2 linked regions of the Macaca fascicularis genome follow. The protein of the gene in region 1 binds, or shares a complex with, the protein of each later gene. Links are inferred from orthologs where the notes say so. Each region holds a gene or a part of one and is shown on either strand. Other genes may lie near its edges.

Region 1 (7,501 bases):
CTGAGACAGGATAATCACTTGAACTCGGGAGGTAGAGGTTGCAGTGAGCTGAGATCATGCCATTGCACTCCAGCCTGGGCAACAAGAGCGAAACTTCGTCACAAAAAAAAATTACAAAAAAAAAAAAATAGAGTGGACACTGCTGGTGGCCTCAGTGGCTGGAGCCTGCCTGGAGATGGGGACAGATGCTGAGTGTGGCAGGAGGTGAGGAAATGCAGGAGGCAGATGTGGACCCCCTTTGGGGAAGCTTGGTGGTGAAATGGACAGAGGGAGACACTTAGTGGGAACTACTGGGTTGACAGAGGGCCTGTAAGTGGGATCCCCGAGCACACTTAGGAAACAGTGGGAGAATCCTGTGGAGATTTTTCTCACAACAGGGTGGGGCCATCTGTGACCTCAGGCTCCCACTATAGTAGTTGGAGGTTGGTGGATTAGGATCCAGAGCCCAAGGAGGCTGCTCTGCCTGGACTGGAGGACAGAGTATGGAGCAGGTAGGGACAGGGCGGGTGTCTGCAGTTGGCCTCTTTTTTCTCTGTGATGAGGAAGATACCTCTGCCAACTGGAAGAAGAGTGAGGGTCCCGGGTTTGAGGAATGGGGGTTTATACCAGGTGCGGTGGCAAATGGGAGAGCCAGCTGCCCAGGTGCGGTGGGACTGCTGGAGGGCTGGGGGCTGGGCCAGTCCAGCCAACCTGAACACACAGCAGCCTTCGCTGCTCAGGGCCACGTTAAGTTGGGCTGTGGGGCTTTTAGGGGAGTGGCACAAGGGTCCCTAAAGTAATAAATCCAACCTGCCCAAGCTGGCACAGAGGAGGCATGGCACAGGGGTGCCAGGGCCTTCAATGACTCCCAGCTGTGAGCTCCATTGGGTAGGAAGCACATCTCTCCCAGTCCCTGCTTTATCCCCAGCGCACGGGGTCAGGGCAGAAGGCCCCTGAGTCAACCCCACTGTACAGGATCTCCTGACCCAAGACCACTCCCAGCCCGCTCCAGCCCCGACCCTGGGTAAACACAGCACAGAGACAAACACATGATCAGTGTTTATTGGTCAGCTCTCCCAAACAGGCCAGCCCTGGGGACCTCCATGAGGAGCGATCGGTCAGCAGCTAATATGCCTTGAGGCCCAGGGCTGGTCCTGGGGTCTGTCAGTCCTTCCCCGGGCGTTCCAGGTCCAGAAGGCTTTGCGGGGTCTTGGGCTGTGTCAGGCTAAGGAAAGCTGCCTTGCTGGAGGAGCAGGACTTGTGGAGGGAGGTCAGAGAGGTCACACATGCGGCCCTAGAACCCGCTAAGTCCAATGTCAGCATGTGACAGGAGGGGAAGTGAGGCAACATGGCAAAACCCGGGGGAAAAGGTGGCAGGGAGTCTGAGAGTGAGGTTGGGAGACCAGCATCTTTTAGGCCCTGAGCAAGAAGGGGGTGACTGGAGTCTTCCAGGTATTCCTCCCTCCTAGCTTCTGGAAGTGAGAGTCAGGGAGGGGGCTCCGGTCAGGCAGGGGTAAGCTCCATGTCATGGGGACTCTGCAGGACAGGCAGGCTGGAGGCGCCACTGTGCCTGGACAGGTTCTGCAGGCTCCCCTACTTGGTCCCTGTGCTGGAGGGGAAGCAGAGAAGGGGCTGGCAGCCTCATCCCCGCGGGACCTTCACTGAGCCTTCTTGGTCACCCTCTCGCTCTTCAGCATCACGTAGGTGATGAACAGTCCTGGAATACATAGACCAGAAAGGCCACATAAGATCTAAGCTCAGGGCTGCTGGGAGGCCAGGGCACGACACAGCAGAGCCACCCACACGCAGGGCTGTGAACCTACCCAACCACTCTCCAGGGAACCTGCTTATCTCCCTAGTCATTCGTCAAGCCATAGGTCCACTCACATTCATTCAACAAACACCAGCTGAGTGCCTGCCTCAGGCAAAGATGCTGCATTTAGTGTTTCAGATTCCAAGGGGAACAAGATCCACCCATCTATAGATCACCCAGTCAACCACTTGTCCACCTATATACCTACCCACCTCCTATACCTCACCCACCCACCCATCCATCCACCCATCATCCAGGCACCCGGCTATTGACTGACTCATCCAAATGACTTTCTGAGCACAACCTCAGTGCCACAGCCCATTCTAGATGCACAGTAATGATGGAGACACAGTCCCCGCCCCTAGGAAGCCATGAGAGAGAGAGGTGCAGGAATTAGAAGCCAGGGTGACAAGAGGGTGACTGAGGTGTGAGCAGAGCAATGATGGGGTTGGGGGCAGGAAAGAGGGGGACAGGTCATTGGAGTCCAAAAAGCCTGGGGCACCAGGAAACCCAGAGGTTACTGACTGGCAACCTCGAAGGATGAACAGGAAAACCCCAGGGGTGAGTTCGGGGCAAGGAGCTTCCAGCAGTGCCAAAGTGTGGAAGCATGTTCAGAGGTGGGGTCCCCCCGAAACCCTGCCCGGGGTCAAGGGGAGGAAGTGATGACTTACCCACAAACAGGAGCAGTAGGAGGCCTGCAGCCAGTGGGATGGCGACAGCATAGGCTCGGGGCAGGAAATACTTGTGGATGACATGCTCACTGTCGATGAATGGCTGGCATCGAGGGCAGAGCTCTGGTGAGCCTTGCTCGCCTTGCCCAGCCCCCAAGCCCAAACACACCACCTCTAGCATCTAAGGGGCTGGCCCATTCAGAGCACTGGGCCTGCATTTGCTTTTCTTTAAGATTATGGCATTTGGGTGTCATGGTTTGTTTCCTTCCTTAATTTCTTATTGGTATTTACCGGGCACTTGCTTTGGTGCCTGCCATAGGTTGGTGGTGGGGACAAGAGAACAGGGGACAAGAGACCAGCCCTAAGGCACTCACAGGCTAGCAAATAGTACATGAGGAATCCTCGACTGACTCCCAACCTGGGCCTCCAGGGATTCTTCACTAATATTTTTTCCCTAAAGGATAGCAAGTTCTGCACTTCCAAACACACTGCACTTCTTAAGCAATGACCAACACGTTTTCCCACAAGAAAAAAATATCCTAAAGGCCTTCACAGATATCACTGGCGCTCGCCATGCCTGAGTCAGCAGGCTAACCCAGAAGGAACATAACTCCCCCAAAAGTCAAAGCAAGCTGGAAACAGAGTTTTAAGTGTAGCGGCTAAGGATGCAATCTTGGGCCAGATCCTTCTCCCCGAGCCTCAGCTATCTCATCTAAAAAATGCGGCACCACTGGCATCTTCCTCATAGCGTTGTTTTGAAGATTTCAAGAGATAAGGCAGGCAATGAAGCCAGCGCCGTGCCTAGAACCTACATAGAAGTTGCTTTGGCGGTGCCAGGGCTACGGGAAGGTGAGCAGCGGACGGGGAGAATGACATACCAAGAGAATCACCCAGGCGGTGTAGTAGGTGAAGATGATCAGGCTAACGGCGACGAGGCCGAGTCCCACCACCTGGTCTGTCCCCGTGGCCTGGAGAAAAGGGAGGTCTCAGCTGACGAAGTGACTCTCTATTTTGGCGTACTAATGGAGGCGGGGCGTCGCGGCCCAATCACGGTCTAAGCTTCCCATTCAACAGATGCTAGAGGAGGCCGGGCGCGGTGGCTCAAGCCTGTAATCCCAGCACTTTGGGAGGCCGAGACGGGCGGATCACGACGTCAGGAGATCGAGACCATCCCGGCTAACAGGGTGAAACCCCGTCTCTACTAAAAAATACAAAAAGCTAGCCGGGCGAGGTGGCGGGCGCCTGTAGTCCCAGCTACTCGGGAGGCTGAGGCAGGAGAATGGCGGGAACCCGGGAGGCGGAGCTTGCAGTGAGCTGAGATCCCGCCACTGCACTCCAGCCTGGGCGACAGAGCGAGACTCCGTCTCAAAAAAAAAAAAAAAAAAAAAAAAAAAAAGATGCTAGAGGGCTGACTAGGGATCAGTTTCTAGGCTGGGAGAGAATGCCAGGCCTCCGCGTTATCGTCCGTACAATAGGGGGGGCGGGAGAGCAATCCCCGTTCCAGTGCCCATGCCCCAGCTTCTGAGTACCCGAGACCCCACCCCCAGACGCCCCTATCTCCGGCACTCTGTCCCAATCTCACCATTTCCCCGCGCGTTCAGTCACCGGAGCCGCAAGCCACATCCGGTTCCGGATTCACGCTTTTCCGGCTTTGGGCTGCGGAGCGCGCCGGGAGTCGTAGTCCCCAGGCCGGCTCAGGCCCACGTCGTCGGAGACTAGCAGGAACCGCCTCCTCCCCTTTGCATATCGAGGAAGTGTAGTTCTCAAGAGCATTGTGGGGCCGGTTGCTGCCCGAATCTCCCTAGGGAATGGGACCGAGTTGGGGACCCAGACTCCCTGGCCTTCATGGCCACAGTCCTGTCGCCGCCCCACCAAAAGCCAATCTCTAAGTATCCCAAAGTCCTGGGGTCAGAGTGAGATGGGAGTGCGGGATCGGAAGTTCCATTTTTCAGATGGGAAAAGCGAGGCTCAGAGAAAGGTAGATCCCAATCCGAGTCAGTGGTGAAGCCGACACGGGAACTGGGGGGCCGTAACTAGTCTGTAGGTGGGAGAGGCGCAGAGAATGTTCACTTTTCAGCCTAGGATGGGCGGGGGAGGGTCTGTCCCCAGCCCGCATGAATGGGGAGGATTTGGATTGGTGGAGAGGGGGCGCCCTCCTCACCATCGCCTGGCCTCCTGGGCCACCCTCTGGATGTCCCCTCCTTTCCTTCACCGGCTGCCTCTCGCAGCAGCCCAGACATGTTTCGGACCAGAACCCACGCACAGGCCCCTCCCCGATCTTGGAGGATCCTTCCTCTGAGAACAAAGGGATGTTGGGCCAGATCATCTTCCACGCTTCTTCAGCTCCGAGATAGGAACGCGGGCCCCCACCACTCACCGGCCGGCTGCTCCCCATCCATCCAGCCTCACTGGGACGCCACGTTCCCCAGGGAAGCCAGCTGGGAAGGGTTTTTTTTCTTTCTTAGAAACGGAGTTCTATGTTACCCAGGCTGGTGTCGAACTCCTGGGCTCAAGCGATCCTCCCAACTCGGCCTCCAAAAGTTTACAGGCGTGAGCCACCGTGCCCAGCCTCCTGTGCCTTTTAATTCACTGACACACTTGTTCATCCGGCCCTGTCAGCTCCCTGAGGGTAGGATCTGAGATTGCTGCTGTATCCCTGGCACCCCGTGGAGGCTTGGCCCAAAGTAAGAGGTTTTTTTTGTTTTTTTGTTTTTCCCCCAGAGATGGGAGTCTCACTGTCGGCCAGGCTGGAGTGCAGTGGCGTGTTCTCAGCTCACTGCAACCTCCGCCTCCTGGGTTCAAGTGATTCTCTTGCCTCAGCCTCCCGAGTAGCTGGGACTATAGGCGCGTGCCAACACGTCCAGCTAATTTTTGTGTTTTTAGTAGAGATGGGTTTTCACCGTGTTGGCTAGGTTGGTATCAAACTCCTGACCTCAGGTGATCCGCCCACCTCAGCCTCCAAAAGTGCTTGGGTTACAGGTGTGAGCATCGCGCTCGGCCCAAAGTAAGAGTTTTGAACCAGCCAGCTTTAAAATTCAGTGATTGTTTAGATCCTGGAGTATAGCATCTGGACTCCAGGCCTCCCTGAGGGGTTATGTGGAGGCCTTTGGCCTGCTGTCCCCACCTGGGGGGTTTGGGGAGAGATGTACTCTGAGCCTGGCATGGTTCACTCCCTCTGGCATTTATCTCGTTGGTTTGTTGGAAGCCCATCCTGTCACTCAGGCTGGAGTGCAATGGCACAATCTTGGCTCATTGCAACCTCTGCCTCCTGGGTTCAAGTGATTCTCCTGCCTCAGCCTCCTGAGTAGCTGGGATTACAGGCAGTCACCACCATGCCCAGCTAATTTTTCTATTTTTAGTAGAGATGGGGTTTCTCCATGTTGGTCAGGCTGGTCTCAAACTCCTGACCTCAGGTGATCTGCCTCCTAGAGCCTCAGCCTCCCAAAGTGCTGGGATTATAGGCGTGAGCCACTGCGCCTGGCCAAGAGCAACATTTTTAAACCTACAATCCGATTCTTTTCCCTTCTCTCTCAGGAGACTTTGGGCTCAGCTAGGAGCCCACTTTTACCTCCCTCCCCGGTTGTGCATATAACAGAGGAAGGGGCAGAATCCGCCTTCAGGGTTTAAAGAGGCCGTAAGTGGGGGTCAGCCCTGAGGAGTGGGGTGAATGCTATCCTGGGATAGAGATGGAGCCCTGGTGGCCTGATTCCTCCTGGCCTGGCCAGTACCATTGTAGCTTCCTGCCACCTCCAAGCTCATTAAAGACCCAGAGTGACTTGCCTGTCCCAGAGCGACTTGGGAGGGTCAGAAACAGGGGTGAGGGGCCCAGGGCAAGCCTGGGCCTGTAAACGATGGCAGCCTGGGGCTTTAGTTTGGGAACACATTCACACCTCCTATAGGTCAGGCTGCACACTCCCGTTGATAACCCCATCTGCAGGTGAGGAAACAGGCACAGTTATTTGTCCTCAGGCATGCTCCTTAGAGGCCACTTGATTGCAGAGAAGGTCTACAGGGCAGTGGTTAGAACTTGGCCCTGAGGACAGAGCTTTCGCTCAGTATGAGGCTGGCAGGTAACGGCCTTCTGTTTCCTCCTCAGGAATCTGGAATGATGAAGGTGGTGATGATTGTGCCTGTAGCCAGGACCGGGAGAACCCTGGACCCCTACATCTTCCCCACCCCTGGAATGTCACTATACATATCTGACTTCCTTCTGATGTTGCCTTTGACCCTAAAGTCAATATGATAAAGTAACAAGGTAAAAACAAAACAGCAAAAGAAACAAAAACCGAAACATTTAATTTTTTCCCCTCAAACCAAGACACTGACACTAGGCTGATTTCCCCTAACAATGTTATTTTCTACAACAGAAGCTGGGACAGAGGAACAAACACAGCCCAGTCAAGTAGTGGTGGCAACATTCTGTTAGAAAGGAGGGGACTCAAAGAAAAAAAAGACACCTCCCCCCACCTCCTTGATCACCTCCCTAAAGACAGAGAACATGGACACCCTCCATCCTGGCAGACATGCCATGTGGTCAGTTTGTGCAGTAAACAGGAAAGAAAAAAAAAGAAAAAAAAAAACCCTAAACATATTGTAGACCTTTATTTTTTAAATCTCCTAATAAAAACGTTAAACTTTCAAGAAGATTCCAATCTGACATTGCATAGACCAATTCCTTTCCAAAAATATCTCCGATATACTCTCCATCTCTCTCAATATATAGAATTTGAAGTCCAGGAGCTGTGGGCGCCTGGTGGGAATTCACTGAGCTCAAGGGGACAGGAGGGCTGAGGACAGGGCTCCCACATGGGAACAACAAAGCCAGGCTTTCTGGCCTCTGGCTCCAGCCAGCATCAATTTGGTTGTGGCCGAATTCTCAGTCCCATCACCCTGGCCCAGGGCCTGGCGTGGGAGGATGTGGCAGGCTCTGTCTCCTTCCGGTGTTCCTGGTCTGGAGGAGTCTCCCCAACAGCACCAAAGCCAGCTATTTTCTGCCCAAAGCCCCAGAACTTTGAATGAGAGGCAAATCTACCCTGAA
Region 2 (7,482 bases), on another chromosome or scaffold:
TCTAGGTGTAAGAACCTTCTCCCCACAGCCACCACTTTTCTGTCCAAATTAAGTCTACTGCCTCACCCTTCATCCTTGCATCTATCCCACAACTCTCCATCTCCCACCACCTTCACAATGAATTTCTACAACCACCACATTGTGTAAGATAAGGGACTCAGTGTCTCCAAATACTATACAGTGTGACAGGGAAAAGCTGAAAATGTTAGTGCAGCCATATTGTCACCCCACTAAGGAACTATTCTTGAAAGTTTGAGAAACTTTCTGGTCACCAATATGCACGGTTGCTACTTGAGTTCTCTAAAGTTAACAATCACAAATGCACTCAAATAATACACATGTATTAATACATATAAACAAAAACTACAATTTCATAGAACTCTTTACTATCTTCAACCACCAACACCTAGCCCTGTTCCTGATGTGGACTATAGAATAATTATGAGGCATGCCTCTATTGAGACATGAGGCCAAACCAGGAGCAGGCAGTGGACAGATGCTTTGGGCTCCAGAGGTTAGTCCCTGAAACCCTTTTCTCCTCATTGGCTAGTGTCCTTAAATATAGAAAGCAGTCCAATTGACCTTGCGGAAAACCACCAATTTTTATCACAAAACACAATATTCATCTGCCCAAATAAAACTCTGAAAAAGAATGTGACATGAGAAGCGCTGAAGACACTAGTTCAAAGTCATGTCCCAGACATTCTTGAGAAATTTATGCAAATAAATATATTATTTTTTAGTAATACCACTCCCTTGACAAAATTTCTGATTTGAAGTTAATTCCTAGTGATAAAAGGACAGTACAGAAACTTGCCGCAAATGAATTACCACAGGAATAACCAGCTATCCTGGGAGGTGCCTGCTGCATTTGGCACCTTGTCTCTGCTCTCTTTAGGTTTTCTTACATGTCAACTTAAACAACACCTAATACATTAGTACTAGCTATTACATAGTGCTGATGCTAATACATAGTGCTTCGTGTCAGGCATTCTTCAAAGCACTTTGCATATATCCCATTTACCACAATTCTAGAGGTAGATACTTTTATTCCCACTTTACAGATGAAAACTGAGACATAGAACAGCTGTGGCCTAAGATGTGATGATTTATTTCCTCCTTAGACAAAATGGATTGCTCCCCATTACCTAAAGTATAGAGCCCAAATTCACAGCCCTCGAATTGCTACTCAACCTCCCATTCTGACTTTTTCCCAATATCCCCTCCCAAAACTCCCCATAACCCTGAAGTGCCATCAAATATTGTCCCATCATCGTGCCCATGCTAAGGACAGATGTGGTACAGTAGTAATCTTATGTTGCTGCAAACGTGTTTTTAGCCTGATTAATTTAAACTTGAGACAGAATTTACAAGTCAGATTTCATATTAAAAATCAGATATACAGTTACTGGGACTTCTTTTAGAATCCTATCTGGAATTCTAAGGGTCTATGCACAAACTGTGAATAGAAACTATCAGTTGGAGCACTGTAGCAGGTGTCTCCATTGGACATCTCCATTTGTTCACAGTTGCCATCAGTCACACAAAGCATGCCAGTTTCACTTGCTTCCGTTACTGACCTGGCCTCTAAAGGCCTTCAACACATTGCCCTAAAACCATCTTTTGCCTACTTAAGTCTCCCTATCCTCCAAGACTAAGCTCAAATGTCACTGCCTCTCATAAGTATTTCCTAATTATTCCAGCTGAAATTTATCTCCAGCTTCTGAATTCCCCCTAGCATTCTGCTTATTATGACACATCACACTCTGCTTTGTAATTAGTTGTGTATATGCTTCCGTAACAACAAGGTAGAAACTGAGTCAAGGTTAGGTAACCAATTCTGTGATATTGGGCAACAAAACTGAACACAGCACCTTGTGTTCTAGGATTTGAGCCCTAGATAAATAAAACAGCATTAGCACATTGAAAAGGGTAGAGAGAAGTGACTTTACACACACACACACACACACGCACACACTCTTCACTCTTCATGCCCCTCTGCCTACTGTTTATGTAAAAATCATGAGACAACTTGATGAATGTGTTATTTTTTTAATAGAAACCACATCACTTCATATGTTACAGCATGTAATTCAAGAGGGTCCCAGAAAGTATTTTCATCCACAAAATAACGGAAAGGATAAGAACCCGCACCACCCAAGCCTTTGGTTCATCTTTTTTGTTTTGATCTCTGTTCTCTTACCACAATGACATGCTGCTTCCAGAATGGAACTCTGTCTTTAAGTTCTATACTAGTTAGGAGGCTAGTCTATCAGCTTGCCTTAATAACGTAATGGATGTCCTAATTTAACTGAGGAACCTGGACAAGTCTTCCTTGATTTCAGCTTCATCCCAAGGCCCATGAATGTTTTCTTTAAAAAGCTGCAAGCGAATGAGGTAGAATGGACAGAGACATGAGATAGACATCAGCAGAAGGGCAAAGAGTATGGCTCCCACAGCACTGATGGACAGTAGGCCTCCTAAGGCTGAAAATGCAAAGAGCAGTGTGACCCCCACATAGCTCCGGGGAGTACATGCCTTTAGTTTCTTCTGTAACATGGGCCATAGGGCAAAAATCTGAATGGCAAACGTCACCATGATGAAGGCATGCAGGGACCGGGGAAGACGTGAAGCCAAGCATACAGAAGCAAAGATGGCCATGTTCAAGGATAGCGTGCTGGACACAATGGCAGCATTGGCACCATAGTCAAAAAAGATGAGGTGGCCTAACAGCATGAAGACTGACATGGCATAGATGGTGTCAGTGCTGACAGACTCTGTAAGGGTTTTCAGCACTGGTGAAAACCCATAAGTGAAAGTAATGAAGACTAGGGCACTCTTCAGGTCAGCCCATCGGGTCTGCCCACTCTTCTTCCGCCCTTCACCTCCATCAATGAGATCAAACAAAACATACCCAATCAGTGAAGAAGCCAGGCCAGTCCCAAAAAGCCAATGGGGGGCCAGAAGACCCTCATCCATATACCACCAGATAACCACAAAAACACAAACACTGCACAGCTGCTGGATCACTACACTGGACTCAAATACCACAGCCCAATATTGGTATTTCCGAGCATGGATGTTTTTCCGGAGCTCTTCCAGGAATCGCCGGTCCACATAGTTATCAGGAAAGGGCTGTCGCTCATACAAGACCTTCTGCCACTTGACCTCCTTGGTGCTAGTTACAGGTTGGGCACACATTATCCTTTCATTCAAACTCAGGCCAGTTTAATCATCGCCCTCACAGAAGTCCAGGTGGTTCTTGTTCTTTATGAAGTTTTGAAATGAGACCTCCCTGGAAATTCCATGCTGTGGTTGATGTTCTATCAACCTTTCCTTGTTTTCAAAGGCAGCAACCCAGGCTAGGCCTACAACAGATGAATTTGTCTCTGAGGCAGGACAACACAGCCAAGTTCCTAGAAAAAGAGAGACTGTGAACCTACAAAAGTTGTGAAAGGTCAAGAGTAGTACTGAGTTAAAGTCAAATCAACTCAGTTTACTAAAAGTCTGAGCAAAATGTATGTGGTAGTCACCTTATTAATTTGGGACATTAAAACTGCATTTCAGACTTGAAAATTATAATTCCTTGAATAATAAAAGACATCTGTTAGCTATCATTTATTGAGTGCCTACTATGTGCTAAATGCCTTATGTATCTTCTTTCACTTAATCCTCACAACCTTGCAAGTTAGTATTAGTCCTGCTTTGGTAAAAAAGCTGAGATTCAAGATGCTTAAGTAACTTTGCCCTAAAGTAACAGAGCAGAGCCAGGATTCAAACCAAAGTCTTATCCCAAAGCCTGTGTCTGACACTGTATCTCCCTCTAAACCAGTTCTTAACTCAGTGGTTCACATACCCCTTCGGTGTATCACATTGCATGTTTATATCCGGATTTGTGTGAATTTATACGGATAATATCCATAGCTTTTATTGGTTCTCAAAGGCATGTTATATTTTTTAAATTACCAATCCAAAGACAATAGTAAGCTGCACCATACAGAAAGGTATGAGCTCTACAGTTTGTTTAGCCAAAATCAAAGACTCAAAGAAACTAGACTCTTCTTCCATTAGCTGAGCTTAGCATCCTTTAAAGAGCTATCAGTCTACTCAAAACAAGGAAACTCTTGTGAGGATCCAGAAAGGTAATCATCCCTTTTTCACAATGAGAAAACTAAGAGTCAGAAACACCACAGGCATCCGGCAAATTTAAGGAAAAAAAATTTCATATTGCCCGACTTTATTTTTTCCATGAAGACCACGACAAGTGTTGCTTGGCAGGCCAGACACCGTTACCCCGCTCTCTGCAGCAGGGATCCCAGCCCGGGAATCTTAAGGCCGCCGCCGAGGCTGGAGGGTTCGCGACGCCCAAAAGGGCAGCGCCCGCCCGCAGAGTGGGGCTGGGAGGGGACAGGGTAGGGTAGGGTAGGGTAGGGTGACCCCAGGGGTGCGCCTTCACTCTCCGGGCCTCCCACTCCAGCCGCCACCCCTCACTCAGCCTTGAGCCTGCGAGAGACAGCAGAGGAGAAGGAGCCCCGGAAACACTGACAGTTACACGGAACCCACCTGCCCGAGAGTTCCTAGGGATGCGCAGCTGGGGGACGGCGGCACCCAGCCTTTTTCCCGCTCCGGGGCGCAGGGGCTGCGACTGTGGCGGAGCACTTCCGGGTCTGCCGCAATCTCCTCAGCGAGAGCACCCTTCCCCAGCCGGAACCATCGCGACGTGGCTGCTGCCCCCTCCTGGCTGCTCAGAGGACCTCCGGACTCCTCTCCTGCAGACTGGCCCAAACCCGAATGCTCTGAGCCTAGGAAGGCAAATCTCCAGCAATCCCCTATTGAAAGATGGGATGTGCCATCTGAAGGGCTGGGTAAGGCAGGAGAGGACAAGGAAAGAGGCTGGGCCAGTGGGTGAGAGATAATGGCAGCTTTTGTTGCGCTCCTTTTATTAAGTCAGGCCCTCAGCTGGGACTTCCCATGCATCCATGCGTTCATTCCACAGATACTGACTGAATGCCTGCAGGTAACAAGCCCTCCTTGGGGGTGCTCATGATACAGCCGTGAATGAAACAGACAAAAATTGCTGCTCTCATGAAACTCTCTTTTTTGGTACATTGACCTTTACACTGATTATATCATCTTCTCCCTCAAAGAGGACAAATCTAAGGCTCAGATAAGTTGAATTTGTCCAAGGACAGGCACCTGGGAAGTAGATGAACAGAGATCAATATCCAGTTGTCCATAGATTCAAAGCTTGGTTCTTTCCTCTTTAACTCCTAAAAGAGGAAAGGAGAAGATTGCTAATTAAACTGAGTTCATAGAAATATTAAAGGATGTATAAACAAAGGAAATAATAAACAAAGGGATGTAGTAAAACACGGGATACAGTGGATACAAAAGTCAGAAAACATGACCCATTTACTAGCTCAGTGACTCAAGGCAAATCACACTACCTGACCTTGGATTTCTTCATTAGTAAAATGGAGATGACATTATTTGCACTTGGCTACTGTATAAGATGGTCAAAGAGTCAAATATAAAATATAAAAATGTTTTGTAAAGTGTTCACTATATGGCTGCTATTAGCTGACTTCGGCCATCGTAATGATAGCAATGTTTAAGTGTGATACATTCTGTAAAATGTTCTCTATTTCCCTCTAGGCTTCTGTTGCAAAATTTGACAAGATTCCTTGGCTTAGTGAGGCCAGCCTCGTAAACAAGCCACTAGTGCTCAGCCTCCCCAGAAGGTAACCTCTCAGCCACTGAGGGCAAAAGATTTACGAAACATCTCACAGAAGATGATTTCTTCTTAAGGGATGATAATTATACAATTATCAGAGGGCGCATTTGATCCATTGAGAAACTCAAGTCAAGTGCTTTAAAAATAGAAATATTCCAGGTTTCTCAGACAAAAATGATCACTGAGTATAGATCTGGCTAGAGGAGATGAGATCTCAAATTATTTCCCTCTACCACTCAACAGTATAAGATAATTTTGTCGCTAGACACTGTCACTTAAAACACTTCCATCCTCTTTCTCACCCCACCTTTTCTCCACTGCTGTAGTCTGAAATTTTCACATTTTTACCATCAAAAGTCTAGAACAGTAAGTTCCCATCTTTATAGAATAGTAACTCTGTATGTAACTTTGAGGTACCCTCCTACAATCTTGTTAGTCCTATTCCTTCCAGACAGACTACTATGTGACACATACATCTATTTTTCAAAATTGCAGGAATTACATGTCTAGGGAGCATTTCAGCTGTCTCTTGAAATTATTGGGTTACCATGTTCCTTCTCCATTTTTGATGAAATGGTTCCTAAGTGTAGTGATAAACCCCACTCTGGAAAGGGGACATGGACAGAAGGGTAGGTGTGAAGCAGTGTTGGGGTAAATGAAAGAAACCAGAAGGAGGGCAAAGAAAAGGTAGGCATAGAGGCCATTCCAAAGGTACATGACAGACAAAAAAGGATCCACTCCTTGGCATGTGAAACAGCTTGTTAGAAAAGCCAGACTCCCCGAAAAGGGTTTCTCCTCCTGTTGATAACTACCATGTACCCTCCTGCCCATGGATAAATGACTTCGTGAGCGAATTCCCATCACTACCTCCACATCCCCACTTTAGTAACACGTACCCTTACTTTGTCTACTCTACTTTAAAAAAAAATCACATTCTCAGTAAATAGGTACAGTTTTATGTATTTTCAGAACAAAATTCACAAGTGCTTTCAAGTGCTCATTATTCAGTTGTGTTGCTTTTACATAATTTTGAATAGGTCTAAAGCAGATTTTCAGAGGTTCAATAAACTCAAAGACCTATTTAAGAAACAAAAGCACTAAGTGATAGAGGGCTTATTAAGAGTTGTTAATGCTACATGGATCAGCATGAGTAAGGATAGTCTAGCATATTTTAATTGAGGGTGGGACACAAACTCACAGGCCCATGACAGTGAGATGAGGGGCATAATGAGTACAGCTGGCCAAACAGGACTGCAGTGAATGGAAATCACCTCCCCACTTCAGCCCACCCGCACCCCAGCAGTGTTACCTGCAGGCATGTGAGTCCAGAGGCCAGATCCACTGGGTCTTCTAATAGTACTAGAAATCTGGATGTTTTATGTGAAATTGCTAGTGTTTGATCTAATAGGGTAATATCCCACCATCCCATACTACCCCCATGTCCATTAGACCTGCCCCAGCAGCCAAGAGCAAAGCATCCTTGTGCATGGCTCTCTTGCCCCCAGCTCCCTTGGTCTCTAAGTATATAAGCCTTTGGCAGAGGGTGAAGATCAGGGAGAAGGGTAGGCCCAGAATACAACTGGCCTTCCGCAGCACCTGTTCAATTTCACAGCCAGGTCCTGGAGGGTCAGAGCAGACAGTCTATTGACAGCCAACTGGAAAGGGAGTGGGTAGTTTTTCCTCCAGCCAGCCAAACCTAGGCTAGGCACAAGAAGAAATTACCTTAGGCAGGCAGTGAAGCTCTACTC

The links.
Region 2: DPM2 (region 1) and PIGC share a complex: the UniProt entries of both Homo sapiens proteins name them as parts of the glycosylphosphatidylinositol-N-acetylglucosaminyltransferase (GPI-GnT) complex. The link is inferred for Macaca fascicularis from reciprocal best matches to the Homo sapiens genes DPM2 and PIGC.

Annotation. Positions count from the first base shown.
Region 1 is NC_088389.1:16,048,616-16,056,116, reverse strand, and holds DPM2 (dolichol phosphate-mannose biosynthesis regulatory protein), read right to left. Parts: upstream 4,089-7,501; 5' UTR 4,049-4,088; coding exon 4,046-4,048; intron 3,432-4,045; coding exon 3,342-3,431; intron 2,567-3,341; coding exon 2,464-2,566; intron 1,697-2,463; coding exon 1,638-1,696; 3' UTR 1,024-1,637; downstream 1-1,023. UniProt on the Homo sapiens protein: Regulates the biosynthesis of dolichol phosphate-mannose. Regulatory subunit of the dolichol-phosphate mannose (DPM) synthase complex; essential for the ER localization and stable expression of DPM1.
Region 2 is NC_088375.1:30,039,268-30,046,749, forward strand, and holds PIGC (phosphatidylinositol N-acetylglucosaminyltransferase subunit C), read right to left. Parts: upstream 4,673-7,482; 5' UTR 4,564-4,672; intron 3,440-4,563; 5' UTR 3,202-3,439; coding exon 2,308-3,201; 3' UTR 2,037-2,307; downstream 1-2,036. UniProt on the Homo sapiens protein: Part of the glycosylphosphatidylinositol-N-acetylglucosaminyltransferase (GPI-GnT) complex that catalyzes the transfer of N-acetylglucosamine from UDP-N-acetylglucosamine to phosphatidylinositol and participates in the first step of GPI biosynthesis.